4 linked regions of the Lonchura striata genome follow. The protein of the gene in region 1 purifies or fractionates together with the protein of each later gene. This does not show direct contact. Links are inferred from orthologs where the notes say so. Each region holds a gene or a part of one and is shown in the gene's direction. Other genes may lie near its edges.

Region 1 (7,410 bases):
ATAACTCCTCTATCCCATGTCTTCATGGCACAGTAACCTGAAAGCCTCACTCACTTGGGCATACAACAGTCAGGAGGAACTGTGAGACAGCAAACACTATATTTGACTAATGCATGAACACTGACGCCCAGAGAGATCATGCAAGGTTGAAGGTTTTGCCAAGGTAAAATTCCATCCCTCTTTTTTTTTCTTTTGTATCTACATATGACTGTAACTAACACAACTCCTCTTGAAATTCAGCCAAGCATAACAGACACTTATAAAGCTAGGACTGAATCATCACTGCAGCTCAGCATGGAATTTGATTTTCGCAGGTTTCACTAACTCCTTTGATCTAGTTGCTTATGAAAAAATAGTAGGACTCCCTGCAAATAAAACTGTGTGGAAAAGAGCTACAGCTTAAGCAGAAGCTTTCCTTCCTTGCAGAGAAGCCAGAACTTAAGAGTGGCTGGCAGCCAAAGCCTACCAGATGCCATATAGCACACCAGCCACTGCTGCCTTCATCATGAGACGACACCAATCAGTATGTATACTCCAGCCAAACACTAAGTGAAGTAGCAAGAAACCTCTTGACAGTCCCTGTGTGTTTTCTCTGGAAGATACCCAATCCATGGAACTGACAGTGCACCTATATGGGCACCAAAACCTGCATAAACCTAAACCAGTAGTACTGCTTCCCGTCAAAGCAGGGTGAAGAGGACAGTGTGCAAACACTTTGCTGGGCTAAGTGTATGTCATGATGCCTGCTCAGTCTGCAGTAAATGCTTGTTGCAGAATGATGGGGCTTAGGCACACTCCCTCACTCACCTGTATTCAGGGGCTTTGAAGCTGCACCCATAGCTGCCAAAGCTTGTAGCAGTGACTATCACTGTCCATGGAAACTCCCAATTCTTGTAAAAACCAGCAAAGATTTTCAGTACGGTTAAGATCCACCAACTTAGGTAAGTGGTGGGGGAGCAGAACTGCTACAGCAGAAGTAATACTGTCAAAAAGGAAACTACTTATTTCTTGAAAATTAAATTACTTGCATTAATAATATCTACGTAAATTTTTTGTCATACCTTGAAATCCTCTTGACACAAAGTGTTTTTGAACAGAGGCTGGGAAAGCATAACTTTAATGTAAAGACTGGTAGCTACTTTGCTTCCACCAACTGTCCCATTAATCCCCTCTGAAGCAACTCGTACCTAGAAGGCAAGAGGAGAAGCTGGGGCTGAGCCTTAATTACAGCAAAAGAGATCATAGTGAAATTGGCAAATTATGAATATGGCAAAATATTTGCCTGTGACACAGGGCAGGCACAGGAGTATGTTCAGAAAAGAGACTACTGATTAAGGAAGGAAAATATGGTTAGTCTGAAGTTGAACATAAAGACAATAACCAGGAAAAAAAACCCTCAACAATCCAGTAACCATTTCTCAGCCATTTTAAAAGAATCACACCAGGACAGTCAGAGAAGTCCACTCAATAAACAGAGAAATGCTGTATAAACACAGAAATTGCTGTCTGCAAATCCTGCAGTCGGCATTAGAATTCCCACTGGAAGTTACCTCAGAAAGAACAATAGGTTTGTGCTGCATGACTCACACAGCTAAAAAAGAAAATGTGAATATGCATAACATTGTATCAAATATTAATTTTTGGGATGAGTCATTTTATCCCCAGCACTGACAAATGAACAAAAGCTCTGAAGTGGGGGTTGGGGGGAAGGGCGAAAGACTGAATATAAGAAGCAAGGAGAAAAACAGCTGATTGGGCTCTACCTGTCTTGGAGATGAGATGGAAAAAAAAAAAGAAAAGAAACTTGAGCAAAACACCAACTACCAGAGAAGACAGCTGAGCAGAAAAAGGAGTGAATGTATGACAACACTTCACCCCCAGGCCTGTGTTGATGTATCACTGGCAGAGAGCAAGAAGCTAATTAGGAAGACAAGTCTCAGATAAAAGGATTTTCCTGCTCCACGTTGCTCTCCTTCTCCTCACAGATAGCCTAGGAACATCAACTTTCTGAGACTAAAATTCACCTTTGCACACAGCATCCAGAGGTCAGGTACACAAGCAACTGATGTCATTAGTCTAACCTGCCAGGAATGAAAATAACAGACTGTGCAGAAAAGAAAAATGCTACATTATGGTGTAGTCTAAGGTGTTGGCTGTTCTCACCTTCCCAACAGTATGGCTTACAGCTTGCTGTAGCCACTCTGCATGGAAGCCCACTGTGCACTGAGGAAGGAGGATACAGGTGCCCAGTGAGTGGAGCAGGCCCAGACCCACGCTATCCCTCCAGCTTGGCCCTCAGGCTGCGTTGTGCTGCATGTGTCCTTCAGCCACAGCATACACCCAGCCTGCTAATGCTAACTGAGATGCCTGAAAGCAGCTCTCTGCTGACACCAATGATTAAGTCACTTTCATCTCCCTGCCTTTATAGAAAAATGCATCACGACTTTCTCATGTGAATATCCTTTCTGGTTGACAGCAGGAGTGATAAAAAGACTGTTTCCATGTGTAAAACTGATGGAAACAGGGTAATCCTTGCAAGGCCAGGGTCTGCACAGTGTGCTGCCTGTAAGGCTCACTCAGTGCCACACAACCCAGGGCTCCCTACATCAAAAGGGATTTAAGGGGATTTAAGATTATCTGTATTTTTTTTTCTTTGTTGTGATAGCTCTTAAACAGAATTCTAAAAGATACCTTACCAAGTCTGAGTGTCTGTCTTAATGGGATCATAACAGACTAACACTTTCTGATGCAAAACACATGTGGTTCTCCATATAACCCATCATCCTGCACTACGTAAAGATATGGGGCTTTTTCCTTTAAGAATAGAACCATTGCTGCAAACCTTACCTTGCCAGTGAGATGTAGATGCTGACACAAAGCCTTCTGCCAAGCACAGAGTTTCTCTGGATCCCTCACCTCACAGTAACAGTAATAGAGAAGTACGTCTCCCACCTGGCTGCCCACAGCATGGTAAAGGTAAGCAAAAAGAAAAATAATGTTAAGAAAGAACAAAATTGTACTATTAGCAGTAACCATTCAAAAAGCAGACAATTTTCTTTTGGCAGATCTGTAGAGAAAAAAATCCCCTGAAACAAACTTTGTAGGGATTAGACCTACTGGGTTTGGTTTATTACAAACAGAATGAATGTTAACCAAAAAAAAAGCTCCCAGACTTCTAATCCTCGGGACTAGTTACAAAGTGAACTTTGTACTCTCACTTCCAGGGCCTACCATATGCTCTCCCCACACACAGAACACAAGAATTGCTGGCTTTTATCCATACATGCAAGCCATTTGGCTCACTTTACCAAAATGGCACTTGAAAACTCAAGCACTTGAGCTGTCTAAATTTAAAAAGCCTAAGTTTTTTGTGAGATTGCACATTCCCACATTCTGTGCAGCACAAGCTGAACTCTGTCACAGTCAGAAGCGTTTCTATGAACCTTCTTCATAACTAACTTCAGGAACTTGAACGAACAGCAGAAAGGAACCCGTGCAAAGCATATCCTGCTGTTCTGCCCTTCTCTGTTGTGGTCCTTCCTTACAGATCCAAGCTGTCAAGCAACACCCATACAGACCTGCTTTAACAGTACAGAAGAATAGTTCAATCCACCGTTAAAAACTGCAAGGGATCTAGCTCTTTATATAAAGGATACACAAAGAATGTGAAGATCTAGAAGAATATTGGGGAATACTCTCTTCCTATACCTTAGAAGCGTGGCTTAAGAAGTACTTCTCATAAGAAGTACACTGGCAGATGATCATGTAAAGCCGAATATCCCAGTGCTGGAGCTTCAGGGAGGCGAGGAGCTTCCTTACCTGGTCAGATCGTCGTGGCTGACGTGGCTGGTGTCCGGGAGCGCCCAGGAGATCTCCGGGCCGCCGCAGGAGCGCCCGCTCGGCCGGGCCGCGCCGCCCGCGGCGTCGGCGGGCGGCGCGCCCAGCCCCGCCTGCCGCCCCACGTCCCCGGAGTGGTGCAGCGCCACGTGCCTGTGGATGCCGGGCAGCTCCTCGAACGCCTGCCGGCAGCACCGCCACCGCACGCCCTCTCCTCCGCCGGGACACCGCGACGCGGCCGGCACCTCCTTGGCTTTGACGAACAGGGAAAAGGCCTGGAACGCACCGCAAGCGTCCTCGTTACCGAGGTTACAGCGCGGCCCAGGCCCGGCCCCGGCCCCGACCCACCTTCCTGCGGGCGGCCGCGCACTGCTTCCTGCCCGCCGCCGCCCCCTCGGCGCTGCCCCGCGGCGCCGCCTCGCCCAGCACCATCTCCCCCTCTCCGCCGGGAAGCGCCCGCTCTCCGCCTCCTCCCGCCGGCTCCGTCCCCGACCCGGAACGGCTCGGGTTCCTCAGGGAAGTGGGCGGGCCGGGCCGCGCGCGCCCCGGAAGCGGCGCGGCCGCGGGCGGGGAGGCAGCGCGCTTGCTCGGCCCGCGCGGCGCCTCGGCCCAGCGCTTCCCGCAGCTCCGCGGCGCTCCGCACTGCTCGGCGCTGCTCCTCCCGCTGCTCCCCCCCGCTGCTCCGGACCATGTCGCGGCGGCGGCACAGCGACGACAGCGATGGTGAGCCCCGCGCCCCCCTCGCGGTGTCCCGGCGGGAGGGTGGGTCGGGCGGGATGGAGGAGCGGCGGGGTTGAGAGCGGCAGGGTTTCTGCGGCGGCGGTAACGCTCTGCTTGGTGTGTTGTGGAGCAGGACAGCCCCACAAGAGGCGGAGGACGTCCGAGCCGTCGGAAATTGAGGAGAGGCTCGAGTCGCTCATCTGCAGGGTGGGAGAGAAGGTAGGTGGGCCGGCGGCTCGGGGAACTCAAGCCTCGTTTCCCTTCTCCCTGTCCCTTGCATGGTGTGGGTGCGCTTCGTCTGTAGTAGCGACCCTCAAAAAATGCTTATTTTGTGAGGTGGGTGGAAAGTTGCCGGTTTTTTTTGCTAAGCCACGTGCTGCGGCGGGTAAGTGCTTAAATCGTAGCGTGGTGCTTCCCAGTCGGGGATACACGGCCCGAGTTACTGTTGTACCTAGAGATGGTGCTGGTGATTCTGGCGTGCGAAGGGTGCGAAAGAATTAATTGCTCTTCCTGCGGCACAAGTTTCCAGTCCCGACGGTGGGGCTGATGGAGGAGGGGGTGGCAGAACAATAGGTGATGATGCGCAGAGAAACTAGGTGTTTTTCAGCTTCGTGTTGTGTTGTTAATCAATGCTCGGCTGGTCGGGATGCTCCTGAGGTGATGTTCGATCTTGCATCCCGGGGGAAAGCTGAAGTTCCTAGCGAGGGAGTTTGGCGGTCAGGTGCAACTCTTGTTAGGCAAGCGAGAACAGATCTTCGCTTTTGATGGAACCCGAGTATTGCCCCGAAAAATGAGGCGACACGAAAGGATGCTCATGTCTTACATGTGGGAGTTGGACTAGTTCGTTTTGCCTGGTTGATGAAACTTTCTTCTGTTTGTTTGTTTTGTTTTCATTTTAGAGTAATTCATCTTTGGAGAGCAACCTGGAGGGCCTAGCTGGTGTTTTGGAAGCTGATCTGCCAAATTACAAAAGCAAGATACTAAGAATACTGTGTACTGTGTACGTATTGAGAAGGTCTGGGAATATGGGGTGTGCTTTCGGTGTGCCTAAGTTTGGTTTTAAGGTAGTTTAAAAGCCATGAATAGCTTTAGTTTGTGATTGGTGTCATAGCTTAGGGTTTGCCTTACTACAAACGAAAGACATAGAGGAACAAGTTCGCTATGTATTTGGTGTAATTCAAGAAAAATACCTTTTTACTTTGCTTTGACTTGAAATGTGTATAAAGGCTTGAAGCAGGTAGATGAAACATTAGAACTGGTCTGCAGTAGCTGTGGGAACGCAGCAATACCGGGTAAAATCCTTTTTCACGTGAAACGCTTAAGCGCTTAAGACCACCAGAGTGGCTGCTAACATCTATCTGTGTTATCTTGATGTTTTCTCACAGCTTTCTCTTCCCTGGCAGTCACGTGCTCAAGTCTTTGTAAGCACATTTGCTAGAGGGGAAGGACTGGGAACGGGAGGAGCAGAAACCAGGCTCTGGTGGCTGCCAGCTCTCTTTCCTCTCCCTGCAAAATGCAGGAGCAGAGATGCTATGACAGGGTCACTGAATGGTGTTGAGGGAGGGATTGTGCAGGGTCTGTTGCAAGAGGTAAGACAATTCCGAAGGAAGGGTGTGGTGCAGACTATGTAGCCTGTTCTAATATTTTGCAGATACTTAAAGTTTCTTTTTTAGCAATATTTTTAATAACAGGTAAGTAGTGTGCTTCCTTCCCTGGCAGCAGAAAGACACTGCTTACTTACCTGCTTAAAATGGTAGAGGTAAATTACTTTTTTACAGTAGGACCTAGTATTCCTTATGCTGTGTAATGACTTTACTATTGACTATGGACTTAAACAACTTCTTGCATTCTTGCAATAAATTCTGTCACTAATATTATTTGTCCAACCCTGTGGGATACTCAGCAATTAGATATAAATGAAAAGCAAATATTTTGTACTAGAAAGTGATAGTAGCTGTCTTTTCTGATTTTCTGATTTCCTCATGAGCCAAGTTTTAACTTACAATACGCGGATTCTAAGATGCCATGCAGTGGCCAACTGGCACATGATGAATAAACAACTAACACATTATTTCTTTTTCTGTGTCAGTGCACGTCTGCTACCAGAAAAGCTTACTGTTTACACGACATTGGTGGGCTTGCTGAATGCCAGGAACTACAATTTTGGTGGGGAATTTGTAGAAGCCATGATTCGTCAGCTTAAAGAATGTCTGAAAGTAAACATGTATAATGAAGCTGTGCATTTAGTAAGTGGAGTTTTATTTGTCTATTTTTTTCATATCCTTATTCTTTCCTCTTTTCACCTTTTTGTTACAGAGAGCTGGACCTTGCAATGTGTGTTTTAATGTCTTTTGCCATCAATGTGCAGTGCACTTTAAATATTCCAAGAGGAAATATGTGTTAGCAGTATTTTCTTTTTCAAGGACGAGGACTTGTATTACATTTACAAAATGTAGTTCCAATGGTATCTTTTTCACAGTGAAAAATTAAATGTGTGTTAAACAGAGGTGCTTTTCACTGCTTGTTCTTCAGTCAAATGTAAAAGATAAAAAAAAAAAGTGCTTCCTGTCTTTGAAACCATTTGCTTCATCCTTACTGCTTATAGATTTTGTCTGCTGTAAGCTATTAGAACTTCAGCAGTGTCTGATTTAGAAGCCCACTGCCAAGTTCCTCACCTTCTGAATCCCACTGGTGAAAATTAAGATTCTAGTCAAGAGACTGAACTTCAGTCAACCGTGATATTATCTTTGCTAATAAGATCTATTGCTAGAACTTGCTGTTATTTTTGTTATCTGATACTGTACAGAATAGAGAGAAGTACCGTGGTTTTCTTCTGTAGTATCAGTCTGCATG
Region 2 (7,606 bases), on another chromosome or scaffold:
TGTCCCTGTCCCCTCCTGGTGTCCCTGTCCCCATCCTGGTGTCTCCATCCCCATCCTGGTGTCTCCATCCCCATCCTGGTGTCCCTGTCCCCTCCTGGTGTCCCTGTCCCCTCCTGGTGTCCCTGTCCCCTCCCGGTGTCCCTGTCCCCTCCTGGTGTCCCTGTCCCCATCCTGGTGTCTCCATCCCCATCCTGGTGTCCCTGTCCCCCTCCCGGTGTCCCTGTCCCCTCCTGGTGTCCCTGTCCCCATCCTGGTGTCCCCATCCCCATCCTGGTGTCCCTGTCCCCTCCCGGTGTCCCTGTCCCCATCCCCTCCTGGTGTCCCCGTCCCCATCCCGGTGTCCCCATCCCCTCTTGGTGTCCCCATCTCCTCCCGATGTCTTTGTCCCCATCCTTGTATCCCCTCCCAGTGTCGCTGTCCCCATCCCCATGTCCCCATCCCCTCCTGTCCCCAGCTGTCCCCGGTGTCCCCGGTGTCCCGTGTCTCACCTCTCTCTTCTTCTTGGCCCTGCCGTCCTCGCTGCCGGGCAGCCCCTTGCGCTTGGCGCCCTCGGGGCGCTCCCGGGGCCGCGTCCCCTCGCTGTCCCTCATGTCCCTCATGTCCCTCATCCTGCGGTCCTTGCGCAGGAACTGCGAGATCAGCTCGGGGCAGTCCAGGTTCTTCTCGGGCTCCCACGTGTTGTGCTCCCTGGGGACACCCAGGGGACAGGGGACATGGTCAGGGGACATGGCAGGGGACACCCAGGGACACCGTCAGGGGACACAGCAGGGGACAGGGGACAGGGTCAGGGGACACCCAGGGACACAGTCTGGGGACAGGGGACACGGCAGGGGACACCCAAGGATACCCAGGGACACCGTCAGGGCACGGGGGACATGGCAGGGGACAGGGGACACTGTCAGGGGACATGGCAGGGGACAGGGGACATGGTCAGGGGACACCCAGGGACACGGTCAGGGGACAGGGGACACCCAGGGGATACCCAGCGACACCCAGGGTACAGGGGACACCAAGGGGACATGGTCAGGGGACAGGGGATACCCGGGGACACCCAGGGACACAGAGGGGACACGGTCAGGGGACACCCAGGGTGTTGTGTCCCCTGTCCCTGCTGTGTCCCTGCTGTCCCCGTCACTCACTCGGAGAAGCCCTTCCACTTGAGCAGGTACTCGGCCTGGCCCCTCACCACGCGCCGGTCCAGCACCTTCTCCACCACATACTCCTCCTCCTCCCCCGAGGACGAGCTGTCGGCGGCCCGGCGGCTCCTCCTGCCCATAGCGCAGCCACCGCTCTGGGGACAGGGACAGGGACAGTGACAGGAGTGTCACCGTGGCTCAGGGAATGTCACCGTGGGACGTGGCACTGCCCTGCTCCTCCTGCCCATGGCGCAGCCACCGCTCTGGGGACAGGGACAGTGACAGGAGTGTCACCATGGCTCAGGGAATGTCACCATGGGACGTGGCACTGCCCTGCTCCTCCTGCCCATGGCACAGCCACCGCTCTGGGGACAGGGACAGGGACAGTGACAGGAGTGTCACCATGGCTCAGGGAATGTCACCATGGGACGTGGCACTGCCCTGCTCCTCCTGCCCATGGCACAGCCACCGCTCTGGGGACAGGGACAGGGGACAGTGTCACCATGAGTGTCACCATGGCTCAGGGAATGTCACCATGGGACGTGGCACTGCTCCGGCAGCTCCTCCTGCCCATAGCGCAGCCACCGCTCTGGGGACAGGGACAGGGACAGTGACAGGAGTGTCACCATGGGTCAGGGAATGTCACCGTGGGACGTGGCACTGCCCTGCTCCTCCTGCCCATAGCGCAGCCACCGCTCTGGGGACAGGGACAGTGTCACCATGAGTGTCACCATGGGTCAGGGAATGTCACCATGGGACGTGGCACTGCTCCGGCAGCTCCTCCTGCCCATGGCGCAGCCACCGCTCTGGGGACAGGGACAGGGACAGTGACAGGAGTGTCACCGTGGCTCAGGGAATGTCACCGTGGGACGTGACACTGCCCTGCTCCTCCTGCCCATAGCGCAGCCACCGCTCTGGGGACAGGGACAGTGTCACCATGAGTGTCACCATGGGACGTGGCACTGCTCCGGCGGCTCCTCCTGCCCATGGCGCAGCCACCGCTCTGGGGACAGGGACAGTGTCACCATGGGTCAGGGAATGTCACCATGGGACGTGGCACTGCCCTGCTCCTCCTGCCCATGGCGCAGCCACCGCTCTGGGGACAGGGACAGGGACAGGAGTGTCACCATGGGTCAGAGAGTGTCACCATGGGTCAGGGAATGTCACCGTGGGACGTGGCACTGCCCTGCTCCTCCTGCCCATAGCGCAGCCACCGCTCTGGGGACAGGGACAGGGATGTCACCAGGGCACAGGGATTGTCACCATGGGTCAGGGAATGTCACACAGGGCCCCTCCTGCCACTGCTCTGGGGGCACGGATAGGAATGTCACCAGATTTGGGGACACCTGGGGATCCCCAGGAGGGATTTCGGGACATCCTGGGGATCCCCAAAAGGGATTTGGGGTAATTTTGGGATCCCTAAGAGGGATCTGGGATCATTTTGGATCCCACAAAAGGGATTTGGGATCATTTTGGGAGCCCCAAGAGGGATCTGAGGTCATTTCGGGATCCCCAAGAGGGATTTGGGATAATTTTGGGTCCCACAAAAGGGATTTGGGGTAATCCCCAAGAGGGATTTAAATTATTTTGGGATCCCCAAGAGTGATTTGGGGTTCCTTTGGGACCCCAAAAGAAATTTGGGGTAATTTTGGGATCCCCAAGAGGGATTTGGGATAATTTAGGGACGCCCAAAAGGGATCTGGGGTAATTTTGGGATCCCCAAAAGGGATCTGGGGTAATTTTGGGATCCCCAAGAGGGATCTGGGGTCACCTCAGGATCCTCAAAGTGAGACCCCAAGGGGGAGGCACAGGAGGGGCTGATTCCTAAAAACCCAGCGGGGATTTAGGCACAAAGAAACGTGATTTGGGCTAAAATCTCCTAAAAAAAAAAACAACGCAAAACCCAGAGAATTCAGGCAGAGCGAAACGGAATTTGGAATAAATCCCCAAAAACTGAAGGGGGATTTGGGAGCAGAGAAATGGAATTTGGGCTAAACCCCTTAAAAATCAAGATTAAAAAAAAGAAAAAAAAAAAAAAAGACGCTTTAAAAGCCCTCAAATCTGTTTTTTCTCCCCCCTTAGGGCAGGATTTGAGCGGATTTCTCCCTTTACACACAGCCCGAGGGGAATCCCTCGCTCCCGGCCGGAATTTCCTGCCGGGCTCCCGGCGGGGTTCCGGGCGGGCTCCTGAGGGAGAAGGCGCCGCTTTGGGTGGGAAAAGGCCAATTTTGGGAAAATCCGCGCCCGGGAATGCTGCGGGAACAAAGGGAGGGCGGCACGCGGAGGCCCGGGAGCGCCTGGCCGGGGCCGAGGCCGCGGCTGTGAGGGGAAAGCCGCCGCTGCGGGGCGGGGCGCGACGCCCCGAGGGCCCAGGCCGCGGTTTTGGGGTGAAAAGCCGCAGATTTGGGCTCGGAGCGCCCCGAGCTGAGGGGCCCGGCCGCCGGGCCTGGGGGCGGGGCCAGCAGCGCGCCGCCGCACGCCATTGGTCAGAGCCGCCGCGCGCCGCGCCCTGATTGGCAGCGCGCCCCACCGCGCGCCGCGGCCCCGCCGCGCGACTATTGGGCGGCGGAACCGTCACTCCGAGCGCCGCCCCGCCTGCCCTGCGCCGCTATAGGTCAGCGCGCCTGTCACTCGGCTCGCCGCCCCGCCTCCCGCTCGCTGCTATTCAACACCGCGCCCGCCACTCCCCGCGAGGCCCCGCCTCCCGCCCGCACCCATTGGCCGCCGCGCCTGCCCGTCACGGCGGCGGGCCCGCCCCCGCGCTGCCGCCCGTCCATCCGCCGCCCGCCGCCGGCGCTACCTGCGCGGAGAGCGGCTCCGGCGCGGGCCCGTCCGCCGCGGTCTGGCCGCCCCTCCGAGCCGCCGCCGCTCCGCGCTCCGCCCGCCAAAACCGCCCGCAGCGCGCAGGCGCCGCCGGCGGCGCTCCGCGCATGCGTCCGCCCGCCTTTTCCCCCCCCTCTCCCCAAAGCCCACCGCGATGGGCGCATGCGCTGCCGCGGCCGCACCTTGGGGCCGGCGGGCGGGCGGCCTCTGCTCGCCGCCGCCGCCGGGAGTCGCCGCCGCCTCCCCGCTCTGCGCCCGCCGCGCCGCGCTCGCCGAGCTGCGCTGGGCCCGCCGCCGCCGGCGCTGATGGACGGCCGCGCCCGCCAATGGGCACCGTCCCCCCGCTCTCCCAGCCAATGAGCGCCTGGCGAGGGGCGGGCCCTGTTTCTTTCCAACCAACCAGCGGCGCGCCGGGGAGTCTCCGGGCCGGAGCGGGAAAAGCCACGCGGGGCGTGTCGGCAGCGCTTCTCCCCAATCCCCGCGGCGCAGGGGCGGGACGTTTCGGCGCGCAGCCAATCAGCGGCGGCGCGGGGGGCGGAGCGCGGCGAGGCGGCCAATGGGGCGGCGGCGTTGTGAGGCGGCAGCCAATGGGCGGCGGCGCGGGGGCCGCGCGGGCGGCGGGGGCGGCGGGGTGAGGCGGCGGCGCTCGCGGCGCTCGGCCCCTTTCCGTGTCGGCCCTCGCAGAGGGAGCATCGCGCGCCGCCGCCACCGCCCCGCGCCGCCGCCATGGCCAAGGCCGAGGTCAGCAGCGGCGCCCGCCCCGCTCCCCGCCGATCCGCGCGCCCCGTTGTTTGTTTTTTTTTTTTTTTTTTTTGTTGTTTTTTTTTTTAACCCATCCCCGTTCCCTCCCCCCCGCCCCCGCCGCCGCCGCCGCCGCCTGGCGGGCCGCGGGACCTCACTGCGCCTGCGCGCGGCGCCCCCCCCTCATCCCCTCAGCCGCGCAGGCGCCATTGTGTGTGGGGGGGGTCACACACAGAGCCCCCCCTCCCCTCCCCCTTCCCCTCCCCCTTCCCCTCCCCTCCCCCCTCAGGTTCCATTTTTGGGGGGGGTCCCACAGAGCCCCTCCCCCCCCCCCCCCAAGGTCCATTTTCGGGGGGGGGTCCCACAGATTTCGCCCCCCTCAGGCGCATGCGCGACCCCCCCTCACCCCGCGCGCGCTCCCGCGGCCACGTGCGCGCGCTTTGTGTCACGGGGGGGGGGGGTCTCAGGAATAACGGGGGGGGGAAAGAAGGGGATGGGGGGGTGTTGGAATTTGGGCTTGAAATTAAAGCTGGGGGGGTGGGGGAGTTGGAGTTTAGGGTTGGGGGGGGCAAAATTAGGGGAGGGGGGTCAGGAATAGGGGCTGGGGGCGCTGAGGGGGCTGAGGGTGCTGGTAGGCCCCAAAATTTGGGGTTGGGGGTGTTGGAATTTGGGGTGTGGGGCCTTTGTGGGGTTTAATATTAAAACTGGGGGGGTGGGGGGTCGGAATAGGGCTGGGGGCCCTGAAGGGGCTGGGGGCGGTGAGGGGGCTGGTAGGCCCCAAAAATGGGGGTTGAGGGAGAGATTTGGGGGCCTGGAGTTGGGATTTTGGGGTTGGGGGTGTTGGAATTGGGGATGTGGGGGCTTGGGGGGGTTTAAAATGAAAGCTGGGGGGTTTGGGGGGGTGGGGGGTCAGAAATAGGGGCTGGCGGCGGTGAGGGTGATGGTAGGCCCAAAAAATGGAGGTTGGGGGAGAGATTTGGGGGCCTGGGACATTGAGAAATTTGGGTTGGGGGGGTTTGGGGGTCTGGTGGCCCCCCCAGATGGGAACTGGGGATGCTCAAGGTTCAGGTGGCCCCAAAAATTGGGGATGGGGGAGGTCAGGGAGGGTCCCCAGGGGGCTGGGGGGGGATTTGTTGGGGGTGGGTTTGGGGTGTCAGGAGCTGCTTGGGAGGGGAGGGTCCCAGTTGGGTTTTTTTGGGGTCCCAGGGGCGATTTGGGGGTGTCAGGATCTCTCTGGAGCTTTGGGGGGACATTTTGGGGTGTGAGGGGGAGTTCAGGAGGGATTTTGGGATGGGACGGGGGTCCCAAGAGGGATTTTGGGGTGTGAGGAGCACTGGAGGGGTCCCATTAGGGATTTTGGGTTGTCAGTCCCCCCGGGAGCTGGGTGAGGGGGTTTTGAGGGGGTTTTGGGGTTCCCCAGCCTCCCCAGAGCTGGGTGAGGAGGTTTTGGGGGTCCTCATCCCCCAACAGGAACTGTGTGAGGGGGTTTCGGGGTGTCAGGCCCCTGTGAGCTGAGTGTGGGGGTTTTGGGGGTGTTTTAGGGGGGATTTTTGGGGTGTTTTAAGGGGTGTTTTAAGGAGTGTTTTAGGGAAGGTTTAGGGGGTGTTTTAGGGGGGATTTTTGGGGTGTTGTAAGGGGTGTTTTGGGGGTGTTTTAGGGGGAGTTTTAGGGGGGATTTGGGAGTGTTTTAAGGGGTGTTTTAGGGGAGGTTTAGGGGGTGTTTTAGGGGGGATTTTGGGGGTGTTTAGGGGGTATTTGGGCTTCCCACCCCCTCCGTGGGGTTCCGGGGTGCCCTGAGCCCGTCCCCCCGCAGTCCCCGAAGGAGCCGGAGCAGCTCCGGAAGCTTTTCATCGGGGGCCTGAGCTTCGAGACCACGGACGAGAGCCTGCGCAGCCACTTCGAGCAGTGGGGCACGCTCACCGACTGCGTGGTGAGGGGCAGGGGGCCTGAAATGGGGCTGGGGGCCCTGGAAACGGCACTGACTGCAGGAAAAACGGGGCTGGGGGCCCTGAAATGGGGCTGCGGGCCCTGGAAACGGCACTGACAGCAGGAAAAACGGGGCTGGGGGCCGTCTGAAATGGGGCTGGGGGCCTGAAATGGGGCTGGGGGCCCTGGAAACGGCACTGAGAGCAGGAAAATGGGGCTGGGGGCCCTGGAAACGGCACTGAGAGCAGGAAAATGGGGCTGGGGGCCCTGGAAATGGCACTGAGAGCAGGAAAAACAGGGCTGGGGGCCGTCTGAAATGGGGCTGGGGGCCTGAAATGGGGCTGGGGGCCCTGGAAACAGCACTGAGAGCTGGAAAATGGGGCTGGGGGCCCTGGAAACGGCACTGAGAGCAAAAAAATGGGGCTGGGGGCCTCTGAAATGGTGCTGGGGGCCCTGGAAACAGCACTGAGAACAGGAAAATGGGGCTGGGGGCCTCTGAAATGGGGCTGGGGGCCCTGAAATGGGGCTGGGGGCCCTGGAAACGGCACTGAGAGCAGGAAAAACAGGGCTGGGGTCCCCAAAAATGGAGCTGAGGTCCCTGAAATGGGACTGAGATCTCCTGGAGTAGAGCTGGGGTCACTAAAAGGGCACTGTGATCCCTAAAACCAGCCCTGGGATCCCTGAAAATGGCCCTGAGACCCTTAAAAACGTCATGGGATCCCTAAAAATGGAGCTGGGATGACAAAAATGGCCCTGGGATCCTCAAATCCCTCCCTGGGGTCCCTGAAATCAGCCCTGGGACCCCAAAACCAGCCCTGGAGCACCAAAACCAACCCTGGGGCACCAAAACTGACCTGGGACCTTTAAAATCAGCCCTGGGACCCCAAAACCAGCCCTGGGGCACCAAAACTGATCTGGGACCTTTAAAATCAGCCCTGGGACCCCAAAACCAGCCCTGGGGCACCAAAACCGACCTGGGA
Region 3 (7,427 bases), on another chromosome or scaffold:
CTCCAGTGGAGAGAGAAGGGTGCTCCCAAGGTCTCCTCTCACCACCCAAATTGCTCCACATCTCCCAATCCTGGTTTTTCTTCTTTATCTCACACCTACTGCAAGTCCTCTTCTGGTCCCACTTTTTTCTCACGCATCCTTTTTTCCAGGGCTGCACTTGTTCTCTTGCTGAGCAGATCCAGAGGAGAGTCCACCTGGCTGGGAGGCTCTGGGTGGCTGTGTGGGCTTGCTGGGGGCTCACAGGCACACCACAAGATCCTGCTGCCAGCTCCAGGCAAGGCGTGTTGGGGAATGGAATTGGCCTGCCACAAGGGAAATCTTAGGGGAATTGGCTCCTTCTGGAAATAAAAATCCCCTTCTTTTCTGCAGTGTACCAGAAATTATCCCTACAAGGAATACTTGGAGGGCATGTGGAGACTAAATTTGCATGTACAAAACTCTCTGTGGGAGTCACCTGTAGGTTTCCTTGTCCATGAACCCCAGGAAATGCTACAGCATCTGCCAGAGTGACAATGGGTATGCCTGTCTCCAGGGTCCCTTGCCAATTCCTGCAGCATCCCTCCTCAAGAAAGGATACTTCTCAGAGAAGAAATCCCATACTCTGCCAGACACTGCTGACTTTCATCCCTGCAGGCTAGTGTGTCTCAAGCTGCCCATTTCAAGGCAGAGGACGTGCACTTGTCTGTGACTACTTGAATTAAGTGCCATTTGTCACAGCAAGCTCTGCACCCACTTCATGCTCATCATCCTTGAGGACTCTCCTCTTGGCACAGACAGGGGGATAATGAAGAAAAAACTTAATTAGACTACCACACAGTCCCATCTAATTTTCTGTCCTGCATTAATCAGGGCCTGGGGAACTGTGCAGTTGGGAAGAGAGAGGACAACCCCTGAGTGCCTGGTGCTGCTGGGTCACCATCCATCAGCTGTGGTACCTGCTGGCATAGGAGCACATGACGGGGTGAGGTGGGCACCAAGAGGAGAAAAGGATTTGCAGCATGGGGTTGTTCAAGAGGTTTTGAGCAGCACCTAGACCTAGGATTAGTAAATTTGCTTTAATAGTGGTTTTTGGTGGGGTTTTATTTGTTTGATTTTTTTTTTCTGCCACCTTTGCCATGCTGTACACATCAGATCACTGCTCAGACCACACAGCAGGTGATGTCAGGTTGAGGTGCTCAGGGACACATTTCATTGCTCTTCTAGCTCGTTTCCCCTTCTCTGAGCACCCACTGGATGTTTGCTGGAGATCCCTGACAATTTTTTTTTGGCAGCAGACGCCTGCACCACCCACAGGTAAAACTTTTCCTCTCCCGAATGCACTTGGTGCTGCTGCTACCCGGCGAGTACCAAATGCGTCCTGGGAGGCACGAAGGAGGCAGGGCGGGATGCGCCGCTCAGGTGCGCCCAGCAGGGTTTGGGGGAGCCGGGACACGCAGCCTTCTGCCACCATCTAGTGGAAACCCGCGGCGGCCACAGCCTGAACGGGGCGTTTGGGAGCGCTCCCTCACTCACCTCAGCTGGGATTCCCCTCGAGCTGGCCACCCAGTTTGCCTGGCTTTTGGGTGGCCGCGTTTGCCTCGCAGCGCAGTTCCCCCCTCCAGGCCCTGGGCAGCCGCAGCCGGGTAGGGAAAAGCACAGGGTGAGCGTCTGCTATGCCAGAAACTGAGAATCCACGGCAAACCCCTCCTGGGGTCTCCACTGAACCAGCTAAATTCCCTTTAACTGTGGAATTATAGCAGCGCTCCCCAGCCACACACATGCTACAACAAGAGACAGCCATAAAATGACCTAAAGTGTATTTACTGCACAAATAGAGCTGTCAAACCTGCTCTTTTGGCCAAATTACCCTTCTCACTGATGCTTCTCTGTGAGACTTCCCTCGGCATTTGAAATTCCTGGAGCTGCCTGCAGAGGAGCTGGGCTGTGCTGAGCCACAGCAGGGACAGCCCTGCAATATGGTGCGTCCCAAGGCTGGCCTTGCTCCACTCCGGCATCATCCTGCCCAGTGCTAGGGCTGAAAAATCCTGGCCACACATGGGATACAGGGAAGAACCCAGCCTAAACACTGGCATCTGCAATGTCCTGGGCCCTTTTTGGCCATAAGAGCAGCTGGCAGGGTTGGGCCATATCCAGACCTGCTCAATGGTGCATGGATAACAGTGCATGGACTGACACAGAACATGGATTAGCACAGAGCATGGATTGATATGGAGCATGGATTGGCACAGAACACGAATTAGCACAGTGCATGGACTGACACAGAGCATGGATTAGCACAGAGCATGGATTGATATGGAGCATGGATTGGCACAGAACATGGATTAGCACAGTGCATGGACTGACACAGAGCATGGATTAGCACAGCCTCATGGCCAGTGCTGGTTCTCACTCCTCTGCACGGGGTGCTGTGCTCCTTCCCCAAACACTGGGCTCTACTGCAGCCTCACAGATACCAGAGGCAAGGACAACCTTCCAACACACTGCTGGGGAATGGGACTGAACACAGGCCATACTGAGAACTCCCCTGCCAGGGTTGGGAACCAAGACTAGCCAGCTGCCAGCCCAGCCCTTTGCAGATCCCACTGCTGGCACTGGTATTGGCCAAATGCAGTGTCCCAGCTGCCAAAACTGCCCCTGGCTAAAGCAACAGTTGTACCTTTATCATGACAAACCAGCAAGGCCAGCCCCAGCACAGGCAGCAGAGCTGTTCAGGCAGTCATGGTACATGATCTTGTTGAACCACATGCGTGGTGAGGAGAGTGCAATCAGCTCTTGCTTCAGACAGTTAAAAATCACTTTCAGGTCTCTCTGTCTTCCATTCCATCACTTTGCATCCCCTTGGGCCACACTTAGTCTTGTGTCACTGCTTTCCCCATGCAGTGACCCCACTTGGGGACAGCTCCTGCAGCACACAGTGGGACATGAGCCAGACATTGCTATTTCACAGGCAGGGTCCAGCTGCCCTACACAAGGGTTTTGCCAGCTGGGATCCCCATCTGCCTGCATGTGTGTGACCAGGACTGGGACACAGGCAGTATCCCACTTTGTTCCAGCTCCTTCCCTCCCCATACTGGCTGATGGTGGCAGGCCCTGCACAGGCTTGGATTACTCCTGGAGAGGCTGATTGATCCCATCACCTCTCAGTGAGCAGCTGCCCTTAGCTCAGCTTGCCTGGAAACTGCCTCTTCTTAACCAGCAGAGAAAGAGGCATAGGACAGCCTAAGAGCTGGGTATATTGCCTCAGCCACAGTGTGGCACTGAACAATCTTGGGGTGCCCCCTCAAAGGCACCAGGGCCATGCAGGATGGCACTCATTGAGAGTCTGCATTTTTATTCCGGGGCTCACTAGGATCTCATGTTCCCCAAGTCAGGTGCTTATCTCAAGTAGGCCATGGATGAGCAAGCTGCTACAGTCACCCATGCTTGAGTCAGGAGCCCCCAGGAGCTGGCTGGATGCCCAGTTTGAAGGGTAGGGGAGGTAAGGCAGTAGGGAAAGCCCAGCAATGGAGGCCACTCTGTGTCAGGTAGTGGCAAGGCAGCACCCAGCCCGGCCAGCAGAGTGACAAGTGAAACAGGGGTACCGGGTCTGCCCTGGGGTCATTTCTACCCTCAATTTACAGCCACCGGGGAAAAATTCCACAGGGAGAAAGGTGGTGTCTTCTTGCAGTGACTGCATTCAAAAGCATCCATCAGGCAAGCACAGGCTTATTTTTTTCTTTCATTTTGGGCCTTTTCTCCCAGCTGAAGGAGTGAAGGCTGGCAGCTGCAGAGTGCAACCACAACCTCGACAGCAGCAGCAGCAGCACACTGACCGGCTCCTACGGAAGCTCCTTCAGCTGCCCACGGGTGCTTTGTGCTTCCCGAGGGTCGGGGAGGGGATGCGGAGCCAGGCAGAAGTGGGTGGCAGAGATAGCGCTGGGGCAGAGACAGCCCCAAAGCGGGAGGCAAAAGCGTGTTCGGGCAGAGCGGCACGCCGAGCTGCCGCCGGGGCGGTCGGGGCCGCCGTGAGCGCCGGGCACGGCGGCGTCTCCCGGAGCCCCGGAGCCCCGGAGCCCCGCCCGGGCCCGGCACGGCGCCGCGGCCGCCACGTGCGGCCCCTGGGCCCGGCCAGGCCGCCCGGCCCCGCGCATGCGCCGCGCCGCCGCCGTCCCGCGGCCTCCCGGGCGGGCGGTGCGTCCCCCCCGCGCTCGGCCCCGCGGCTGTAACGCGCCCTGCGGTTGGCCGATCGCAGAACGCCGGCGATTGGCGCGGCGGCTCGAGGGGCGGGGGCCGCGATTGGCCGGGCGGCGGGGCGCGCGCGGCGATTGGTCGGAGCGGGGGCGGTGGGGGCGGGGCGTGGCGCGGGGCTAGCAAAGGGGGCGGAAGGGGCGCGCGCTCGCTCTTTCGTGTCAGTGCCCGGCCCGGCCGCCCGCGCGTCCCCGCCGCTCCCGCTACTCGCCCGCGGCCCGATCCCCGCCGCGCCGCCGCCCCGCCGGACGCGCCCGCTCCGCTCCCGACACAACTCGGCCGCCGCCCCTGCGCCGCCAGGCACCGCCGCCATCATGGTGAAGATCACCAAGGTGAGGGAGTGGCGGAGCGCAGCCGCCGGGCGGGAAGCGGTCCAACGCCGCCATGATGGGGCGGGAGGGTGCGGATGGCGGCGTATCGGGGAGGAAGCCGGGCCGCCTTCTCGCCGCCGTCCGCTCGGGCCGCGCGGCGGCACCTGGCCTGTTCTCCCGAGCCGTGAAGATGGCGGCGAGGGGAGGGGCCGCGGGCCCGGAGGCAGTGGATTCAAGCCCCAATTGTCCCGCTCTGCTCCGTGCGGCGGCGGCGGGAGGGGAGCGGGCGGCGGGGCGGGGGATCCGCGCGCGTGTGTGCGGGACGCGGGTGGGCCCCGCGTGCGGGCGCGCGCGGGGTGGGGGGGGCGGGGCTACGTCACAGTGCGGCCACGTGGGGCGCGCGGACAGCGAGCACGTGGGGGCGCGCGGAGCTCCCGGGAAGGCCCCGCGCACCGGCGGGCGCGGCCCCGCCACCGCGGGGCGGCCACGTGGTGGGGACAATCGCCCCGCCGGAGCGAGCGGCGCCCGCAAGCGACCCGGGTGAGCACGGCACCTGAACGTGCTGCTCCCGCTCTCTTGCAGACCCCGAAGAATCAGATGAAACAGAAAAAAATGGCTCCTCCCCCGAAAAAGTTCGAGGAAAGTGAAGAAGAGGAGTCCTCTGATCTAGACGAAAGCAGCGGAGAAGAGGTGATTGATCTAGAAAGGGGAGGCAAAAGGACGCACGTGTTACACAGAAGTGTCGTGAGGGTTGTGGGTTACACTGTAACAGGCGTTTAATCAATAGTCGGTGTTTCTCTATAAATTGTGGCTAAAGAATAAAGTGGATTTTGTAAGAATAAAGCATTATGGGGAAAAATAGCTCAGCTACTGTGTTTCCAAGCTTTTGGAAGTGCTTCTGATGTTTTAAAGCCATACTAAAGCTGATAAGCATGTGGGTACCTAATTATTCTAGTAATCAGCAGTGTAACATTTGTCCACGTGTGGTTTATGTGCAAGTGTAAAAATTCCAAGGTATAGAATGCTAATAGACACAATTGGTCTTTGTTCAGGACCAGGGAGTTTAGAGGTGCTTTGATGTTCCATAAGTAGGCTTCTGAAAGCATGAAAAAGCTGTTTTTGACCTTTATTCATCTGAGTGGGCATTTAAGGTAAATTTACAGAACCTGTCAGGTTACTCTGTAGATTTCAGTTGCTGTATGTTTGATAGTGAAGTAATGGTAGGTTAAACAGGCCAGCATGAATCTTACACTAATGTGTCTTTCAGATGATCCCCCAGAAGAAACCACAAAAAGTTGCTGTTACCCCAGCCAAGAAGGCTGCAACTCCTGCAAAAAAAGTTGCTACTCCTGCAAAAAAGGCAGTTACACCTGCAAAGAAGGTTGTGGCTACTCCACAGCCGAAAAAGGCTGTTACTCCAACTCCTAAAAAGGCTGCTGTCCTAACCAAAGGAGCAAAAAATGGAAAGAATGCCAAGAAGCAGGAGAGTGAAGAAGATGATGAAGATGACGAAGATGATGATGAGGAGGATGAAGAAGATTCGGGTAAGTTACTTTTGAAATAGGCATTGACTAAAGCTGGTTCAATCAAGTCATTAAATATGAGTCCCTTTGGAATTGGAAGCATTTGTGTGATTAATACTTGGGGGAGTTCATTGATTAATGAGGGGTTATGAAGGAGAGGTGGGCAATGGGTGAAGTTTGGAGGAGAGCTTGGGCTGCAGCTGCCTTACACACGGCGTGTAAAACATCTCCTAGTTTCTTGATTGCCCTTTCCTGAACTTTTGCGCAAAATTTTGGGAAGCTCTAAGCACTTTTTACCTATACCACTGAACCTTAGTAGTAAAGACTTGTACTGTTGGTGCAGATGAGGAAGAGGAGCCACCAATGCCTGTGAAGCCTGCAGCCAAAAAGCCTGCAGCAGTACCAGCCAAAAAGCCTGCAGCTGTGCCAGCAAAGCAGGATTCTGAGGAGGATGAGGATGAAGAGGATGATGAAGAAGATGATGAAGAAGATGGTATAAGATGTTTATTATTAAACACTTTCAGGGACCTGGGGGAGGGAGGTTACTTAAAGGATAATGGGATTGATGCAGTGTGTGCTCGGCTGGTTTTAGCTGGTTGCTGTTGTCCATGTTGCTGAAAGGATGTTAATTTCCCTTTTGTCAGTAAAACTTCTTACTGTTGGTGAACAGGTTTTGGGGTTTTTTTTAATGCAGTAAAACACAAGGCAGAGAGACAATTTTCCTGGAAACATACAAATTTCAGGAGGCATGAGAAACATCTTGCTTAACAGTATTTTGTTTTCTTAGTTTCAAAATATGCTTAATGTGGAACTGTCTGAATACCGTGCTCATCTTGTTTCAGAGTCTGAAGATGAAGCCATGGACACAGCCCCTGTTCCAGTGAAAAAAGCCACTCCAGCCAAGGCTGCACCAGTGAAAGCCAAGGCAGCAGAATCTGAAGATGAGGAAGATGAGGATGATGATGAGGATGATGATGAAGAGGAGGAGGATGAAGAGGATGCCGAAGAGGAAAGTGAAGATGAAAGTAAGTTTAAGTGGCTTTGAGACTCTTTAATAACAGATATGGTGCCTAAGCAGAAATGTGCTACAGTGGCCTTTTGTACTGAGGAGCAGCTTCTGAGTAACAGGAGAAGATCTTGTGTATGAATAGTGTAAGGATTAATGTTCCTGTATTGATGCAATTCAGGAAAAGTTCTGTATTTTACAGTGTTGTTCTGTTTTCTGGCACAGAACCTGTTGTCAAGGAAGCACCTGGAAAGAGGAAGAAAGAAATGGCCAATAAAAGTGCACCAGAGCCCAAGAAAAAGAAAACAGATGGTAAGTGGTGTGGGATCCTCATATGATGCTTGTTTAATGGATTGTGAT
Region 4 (6,979 bases), on another chromosome or scaffold:
ATGTTTCTTTCTTGAGCCCTTACCTGCTGAAAAGGCTGCAGGCTGGGGGGCTGCCCAAGCAAGGGTTTGTAGGAAAGTCCTTAGCCTCCCCTGCTTCCCGAGGCAGAGCTGCCCCAGCCCCGCTCCGAAGGTAACAGACTTACCAGAAGATGATCTAATGACAAAGCAGAGGAGCCAGAACACTTGGGTTGTCATTTTGAAGAAAAGTTTTTCCAGACTCAAAATGAGCTGGAGTCTTTTATGCCCTTCCCCCGATCCATGCTAATGAGAGGCAGCCTGAGGGGAAACGGGAATCACTCGCTGGACAACCCACTGGAGCAAGACCAAGCTGCTGCCTCCACCAGCCCTGCCTGGGAGGAATGTGCTCCTTCCCATCGGGAACAAGCCCCTGGCTGCACCACCTGAGTCCTGGGAATACACACCCACACGTGGTTCTGGCAGCAGATTTTTATTTTGGGGAGTCTTGCCCTCCTGTGGCATTCTGTAGGGAAAAATCATCGGGAACAAGGCTGGTTTTGCTGCCTGTGGAGAGCTGTGTTCTGGGGGGGAACCGGGAGCTGCTGGAATACACCAGACCCGGGGACACGGGGGCTGTAAAGGATATGCATGACAATGGAACATATCTGGGGATTTCTGGTCACCTCCAGTGATACAACTGCTAATCTCCTCTTTTAGTTTCAGGAACCAGTTTCAGTGATTCTTTTCAGGCTGAAAAATGCAGTTGTGACTGTCTAGTCCAAGGGAAAGCTCTGCTGATCCCACACAGCTTTATTTTTAAATCTCTCTTTGCCATCGTGAAGAACTCTGCAAATTTTCACACACCAAGCCAACCCTGATTTGGATTACTGAATTAAGAAGGCTTATTTCTAAGTGACCTTATTGCAACACAAGATTCCTATTGTGACAGTTTAACTCACCGGCTGCTGCTGGGTGCTGTGGAAGCTGTTCATGATTTTAAGGGACAACCAACAATTTAAAACTACATAAAGGCACTGAAAGGCTCCTGAAACCCACCCTTGACAGAAAATCTAACCCTCAGCCATGCCTGTGGCATGGGATTCAGTGTTGCTTAGTTCAAGCAGTTTGTTTTGTCCTGCCTTAATTAAATATTTCAATAGGATTTCCAGAAGCTCAGGGCTTTGTCTCCAGCAGCCATGGGCAAAGATACAGAAAATTCACCAGAATAGTGTGGAAAATAAAAGACATTTCACCACATCTATTACTCAACGAGTTACGTTTCTACTGCAACACTCACTTACTCCCTGTTTCCCTCTGTTATTTGAAACATTTTAATTCCAGAACTATCCCAAGATAGCTATTACGGGAATAGGAATGTAAATTGAGGATGAAGGAGAGGAGGGCTCCTCCATTGCTTTGGTGAGCAGCAGGTACCTGCAGCAAGCAGAAGCTGGAGTGTGAGTGCTGGCACTGGGGAGGGAGGAGGATGGATGGATGGATGGATGGATGGATGGATGGATGGATGGATGGATGGATGGATATACACACACGTGAGCATGCCACAGACCTGTATTCCAAGGATTTTTCTGTTGAATTAGCTGGTGGTGCAATTCAACCCTCATTCATTACGGCTGTGTCTGCACTCTTTCCCCAGACTTTACTTGGACAGGATCTCCATTAAGAGCACAGCAGTGGTGTTTGGAGCACTCCCGGCATTCCAGCAGCCCCGGGGTGCTCGAGCAGCGGAGATGGAAAAGCTTTCCCAGCAGCGCTGGGCAAAACCGGGACCAAAGCCACATCCCTGCCCGGTGCCCCGCGGCTGCTGCTCTCTGGAGGGAGCGGGACCCAGGGATGCCCGCAGGAAGCGCAGCTGCCCCCGCGGGTCGCGGAGCGCGGCAGAGCGGGCCCGGGGCAGCCGCGGTAAAAGAGTCGGGGGTCCCGGGCGGGGGTGGGCGCACGGAGCGACCCGCGGCAGCGGCACAAAACGAGCGCGGCACGACCCAGATGGGACTCGAACCCACAATCCCCAGCTCCGGAGGCTGATGCCTTATCCATTAGGCCACTGGGTCACCCAGCACACACCGCGCGCGCCGCCCGGTAAGAGCCCCGCCCGGCCGGCCCCGGCCCCGCCCCCTGCGGGTGTCACGTGTTCCCCGCTCGCGGCGGGCCGGCCCCACCCCCCGCACGCCATTGGTCGCGGCGCCCTCAGGCCCCGCCCCGCGGCGCGTGCCCGCGGCCCCGCCCGCGCCTCAGAACGGGTTCCCGCCCTCGGCGCGAGCGCGTCCCCGCCTGAGGGGACCCGCCCGGGGCCGCCCCGCTGGCCCGGGACCCCCGCCCACCGCTGCCCGCGGGCCCGTGTCTTTCAGCTTCCCCTCGCGGGCCCGGTCCTGGCTCCTGTGCTGCTGCCGGTAACTCTACCCAGTCCCAGCGGCTCCACACTCGGCCTTCTCAGGGAACACCTCCCCCTCAGGGCTCTGTGACCCCTCACGGCCCTTTTGCCCGCCTTGCACACACCTTCTGCAGCCCCACAACCTCACCCGCAGCTTGGCCGCTGTTGTGCCCCAGTTGCCCAGTCTCCCCCGACGTCTCTGTCGCCCCCTCGCAGCCCACACCCCCTCGGGCATCTCGGGCACTGCCAGCCCTCTCCGTGCCCTCAACACCGATCGCTGTGCCCAGATTTAACTGCTCCAGATCATACACTGCCAGCGATGGAATTTCTTCACGCCAACCTTCCAATCCTTCAGGAAAGCAGGTGTTTTACCTCTATTTCTGCTTTTGAACTGCCTTTTTTCTTTGTTTAATATCTCCATTTGTTAGCAACGTGCCTTCTCTTGGCTTACCTGCTCTTGTTTTTGTAGGTGTTTTTTACAAAGCTCAGCACCGTAAGGCCTAAAACCAGCTATATGAGATGTCACTGGTAATTCCTCCTCAGCAAACATCCTCCATACCTAATGTGTGCCTAGAGATTGGTATAAGTGGTTTAATGTGATGGCTTAGCACACAGGCATATCGATGTACATGCCTGAAACTTCTCTGTGTTGTACCTTACAGGTGTCTCAAAGTGTCAGAGTTGTGTTTTCCCTACAGTTCTTTGGTTTGAAGATCTCCTGTGAAAATCAGTGTTCTTTTGTGTTCCATCCCTCATGAGCAGGCCAAACCCATTGGAATCAATCTCATCCCTTTTCAGGCCATACCACAGGGGCAGGAATCCTTTGCTTTTGTTATTCTGTGTGATTAGGTTTCCATCTGCCCTGATGGCTGTAGAACTGCTTTCAGCTGCAATCTCATATCCCCTTTTCTTTGCATTTCTGTGCACCACATTTCTTGGAGACAATAAGTGACACATGGAGCCATGGAATCACTGAATGGTTTGGGTTGGAAGGGACACCCTCCATTACCCCAAGTTGCTTGGAGCCCCATTCAACCTGGCCTTGGACACTTCCAGGGATGGGGCAGCCATAGCTTCTCTGGGAACCTGAGAAGGGCTTCACCACCCTTACAGGGAAGGATTTTTTCCCAATATCCCATCTAAACCCACTCTCGTTGCGTTTGAAACCATCCACCTCCTCGTCCTGTCACTACCCGCCCTTGTCCCGGGGAAGCCCGCGTTGCCGCGCTGGTTTCTGAGGCAGACTCAGGCTCTGCGTGAGGGAATTTCTGCCCCACCCGCTCAGAGCGCGGCCCCTGCACGACACAATTAACCCCTCGCTCCGATCCCCGCTCCCGTCCCGGGCTATCACCGAGCCCGGCCCCGTGCACTACAGCTCCCGGCGTGCCCCGCGCCGCCCCACAGGGGCTTGCTGGCACTGCCTGCGCGGGGCACGCCGGGGGCTGTAGTACCGGGCTTTGTGAAGACGTCACGTCCGACCGGCTCTTCCGGGAGGGCATTCCCCGTCATGGCGAGCCGGGCTGCTTTCAAACCGGCCAATCAGAAGGCTGCTTTGGCTCGAACTGGCCAATGGCAGGGCGCGGCCGCGGGAAATTTAAATGCCGCGTGGGGCGGCCGTGGGCAGTGGCAGCGTGCGGCAGCAGCGGAGCGACTGGCGGCGTCTCCGGCCGAGGTGTGGGGACCGGGTCTGGGGCGGCGGGGATGCGGGCCCTGCGCTGCCCTTTTGGAAAGAGCCGTGCTATGCCTACAATTCTGCCGGGGCCTCTCTCCGGAGCCTCCCGCGTCTCGCTGTCTGCACTGGGGCTGATAGGGCTGGTGTATCCCAGCGCGGGTTGTCTCTCCGGTGGGGCTATGGCCGAAGGGAAGCCAAGACGGTTCTTATGCTGGCAGTGGCTGAGCCGTAAGGGTTTTCTTCGTTACTCGTGTAGCCGTTGTTATGTGCGGCCGGCTGCGCCCGCACGGCAAACGCCCCCCGGCCTTCTTCCCATTCCCAAAAAGGTCGGGGTGGGGCTAGGTGGGTTCCTGTGCAGCACAGGTGCGTGATAGTGAAAATAGTATTTAACAGCGTGTGTATGTTGTCTGTAGAAATGAAAATCTATGCTGCTTCTGAAAATAATAACTAGCAGTATTTGGTTTAAAGTGTCTCAAAATCGTGTGACTGTGTCTTCTGCTTTTGTGTTGATGCTAGAGTTCGTTATAACATATGGCTGTTTAATGAGACAGCTGTTGAACAAGTCAGATGTTTTTATAGTATTAATGCTAACAAGTGCCTATCATTCTTGAGTATGGGTCCAATTTTTTAAAATTTAACTTTTGTGGAGTAAATTTTCCTTTGCTCTGTTTTCAGGCTTGTTTTTATCTGTCCTGCTCAAAAAATCTAACAAGCAAGATGTCTACTAATGAGAATGCCAATACACCCTCAGCTCGATTAAACAGATTCAAGAACAAAGGAAAGGACAGCACAGTGAGTACTCTGGTGCAATTAGTACTTTAGCCAGCCATTTTCTCTTTAAATCTAAGTTTTGAAAGCCCAGAACTTATTCTGAGTGTGTATCCTCCAGGAGATGAGAAGGCGGCGCATTGAAGTCAATGTGGAGCTGAGGAAAGCTAAAAAAGATGACCAGATGCTTAAAAGAAGAAATGTGAGCACTTTACCAGATGATGCTACTTCTCCCCTTCAGGAAAACAGAGGCAACCAGGTAAGTGGATACTTGGAATAGACACACTTGGAGGGTCTTACTGTCTGAGATGCTGCAGCCAGGCCAACATGGATCTATTCTCGAGTGCAGGACAGCACTACTGCATCTGCATTAGTAACTCAGGCCTGTGTTATCACCTCTAATGGACAGCACTCTTACACACAACTGGGGATGCCTTAAGTTTTAGCTTTCATATTTTTCAGATTCTATGCTGCTTTAGTGTGTAACTGAGCTTCATATTAAGTGTTAGCAAGTTCTCTTCACAGAGTAGGTAGACAAAACAATCCCTTTCCAGCTTGTCCAAGGACAAGTGTTACAACCTCCAGGCCCAAAAAGTATAAACAACAGTGAATTGAAGAAAGAAAAATAAACAGGATGGAGCTTTGTAACCTAAAGTTATAACTGGACAATTAATTCCAATATGCAAATGGACTAAAACATATAAAAGTGTCAAACCTCATGACCATAGTCCGTTTTGTGACCATTTTGGTTCATCTTTCGTGTAGCCCTGGCCAGGCTCTTGTACTGCCCAAGTTGTATCCATTAAGGCCTTCAATCAATACCTGCTTTATTCTTTAACTCTGTTTAGCCTCTGTTCTAAGTCAGACTTCTCAAGGCATCACTGGCTGCAGCTACATTTTAAACCTAGCATAACTGGTATGAATCACTTGGTTAAAAAAAGCTTTCAGCAGTTCAGATAACTGTAGGTGAAGCTGTAGCTGATGAGGTTTTGAAATACCTCATTGTGGAAGTGGCTGTAAATTGGGGCCTGTTCATGGTACTGTGTAAGAGCTCTCTGGTCAGGAATACACATGACTGTCCCAGTGAAGCACTCATGTAACATTTTCTTGTACAGGTTTTGGCACATTGGTCAGTTGAAGAAATAGTCAAAGGAGTTAATAGTAATAATATGGAGCTTCAGCTACAGGCTACTCAAGCTGCCAGGTAAGCAGTTCAGAGGAAACCAACTCAGCTGTGCAAGCCAATAACTAGGCAAGGTGAGAGGATTGACTTATGAGCCTAAATGGCTGCTTATGGCTTTCTTATCAGGCAGTATTTCAACAAACACCATCTTATATACCATGTTGAGATACCCATAACTTAGGCATGGTTTTATTGAAATCATGTGGCTTTTGAATATTTAAAGTGCCTGAATATTTTAGTAGGAAGAAGTAATTTGCTTTAGTGGTGGCAAATTTAACAGTAGTCACCTTTGATTTGAAGAAGTAATTATAGTTAACACTTTATTATAGCAAAGTAAGGTACCTTTTAAACTGTGTTAACACTTTGGTATGTATGAGTGTGGCAATTCACTTTAGAATAATGTGAACAGTAGGATGAGTGGGTTTTGAAGTTTTCCAAGTTTGTTTCTCTTTTCAAATCTAAAATATCCTTTAATAAGCTTGCATATTGCTCAAGTGCTTCTTCTGGCAGTCACTAACCTCTCTCTGCTGAGAAGCCTCTAGCAGCTCAGATGTGTAATGACTCCTGCAGGTCTGCTTTGCTTCAGAGTCTGAACAGAACCTCTCATATAGTGAAGACATGCCAAATTAGCATTAACAGAGGCCTGGCTAGGGAGCTAGTGTTCATCTTGTATGCATTTCTCTTTCATGCTGTTGTGTTGCCTTCTATGAATGTTAAGACAATGCTAAACTCTTTTCATATGGTGCTTTTAAAACTTTAATTTGTTGTTCAGATGTCTGCAGGCAAAATTAATGCTTCCTGTTTGCCTTCCTCCATAGGAAACTCCTCTCAAGAGAGAAGCAACCCCCAATAGACAACATAATTCGGGCTGGTTTGATTCCAAAGTTTGTCTCGTTCCTGGGCAGAGCAGACTGCAGTCCCATCCAGTTTGAATCTGCCTGGGCCCTCACCAACATCGCCTCTGGCACGTCAGAGCAAACCAGGGCAGTGGTGGATGGAGGGGCAATTC

What was found.
Region 2: the proteins of NCBP1 (region 1) and HNRNPA1 purify together in Homo sapiens (affinity purification with western blotting; 4 studies listed by BioGRID and IntAct, with this or other methods). This does not show direct contact. The link is inferred for Lonchura striata from reciprocal best matches to the Homo sapiens genes NCBP1 and HNRNPA1.
Region 3: the proteins of NCBP1 (region 1) and NCL fractionate together in Homo sapiens (co-fractionation; 3 studies listed by BioGRID and IntAct, with this or other methods). This does not show direct contact. The link is inferred for Lonchura striata from reciprocal best matches to the Homo sapiens genes NCBP1 and NCL.
Region 4: the proteins of NCBP1 (region 1) and KPNA2 purify together in Homo sapiens (co-immunoprecipitation; 5 studies listed by BioGRID and IntAct, with this or other methods). This does not show direct contact. The link is inferred for Lonchura striata from reciprocal best matches to the Homo sapiens genes NCBP1 and KPNA2.

What each region holds. Positions count from the first base shown.
Region 1 is NC_134642.1:47,796,976-47,804,385, forward strand, and holds the start of NCBP1 (nuclear cap-binding protein subunit 1), read left to right. Parts: upstream 1-4,400; 5' UTR 4,401-4,526; coding exon 4,527-4,560; intron 4,561-4,690; coding exon 4,691-4,776; intron 4,777-5,456; coding exon 5,457-5,557; intron 5,558-6,646; coding exon 6,647-6,803; intron 6,804-7,410. Other genes in the region: TSTD2 (thiosulfate sulfurtransferase/rhodanese-like domain-containing protein 2), read right to left, coding at 1,062-1,187, 2,848-2,956, 3,820-4,112, 4,186-4,269. UniProt on the Homo sapiens protein: Component of the cap-binding complex (CBC), which binds cotranscriptionally to the 5'-cap of pre-mRNAs and is involved in various processes such as pre-mRNA splicing, translation regulation, nonsense-mediated mRNA decay, RNA-mediated gene silencing (RNAi) by microRNAs (miRNAs) and mRNA export.
Region 2 is NC_134629.1:8,440,463-8,448,068, forward strand, and holds the start of HNRNPA1 (heterogeneous nuclear ribonucleoprotein A1), read left to right. Parts: upstream 1-4,600; 5' UTR 4,601-4,685; coding exon 4,686-4,700; intron 4,701-6,513; coding exon 6,514-6,630; intron 6,631-7,606. Other genes in the region: CBX5 (chromobox protein homolog 5), read right to left, coding at 489-687, 1,140-1,276. UniProt on the Homo sapiens protein: Involved in the packaging of pre-mRNA into hnRNP particles, transport of poly(A) mRNA from the nucleus to the cytoplasm and modulation of splice site selection.
Region 3 is NC_134612.1:18,077,056-18,084,482, reverse strand, and holds the start of NCL (nucleolin), read left to right. Parts: upstream 1-4,425; 5' UTR 4,426-4,541; coding exon 4,542-4,559; intron 4,560-5,120; coding exon 5,121-5,228; intron 5,229-5,805; coding exon 5,806-6,082; intron 6,083-6,404; coding exon 6,405-6,554; intron 6,555-6,903; coding exon 6,904-7,086; intron 7,087-7,292; coding exon 7,293-7,379; intron 7,380-7,427. UniProt on the Homo sapiens protein: Nucleolin is the major nucleolar protein of growing eukaryotic cells. It is found associated with intranucleolar chromatin and pre-ribosomal particles. It induces chromatin decondensation by binding to histone H1.
Region 4 is NC_134621.1:8,515,730-8,522,708, reverse strand, and holds the start of KPNA2 (importin subunit alpha-1), read left to right. Parts: upstream 1-3,971; 5' UTR 3,972-4,019; intron 4,020-4,694; 5' UTR 4,695-4,736; coding exon 4,737-4,811; intron 4,812-4,908; coding exon 4,909-5,046; intron 5,047-5,902; coding exon 5,903-5,991; intron 5,992-6,788; coding exon 6,789-6,979. Other genes in the region: C19H17orf58 (UPF0450 protein C17orf58 homolog), read right to left, coding at 144-261, 2,473-2,696, 3,522-3,846.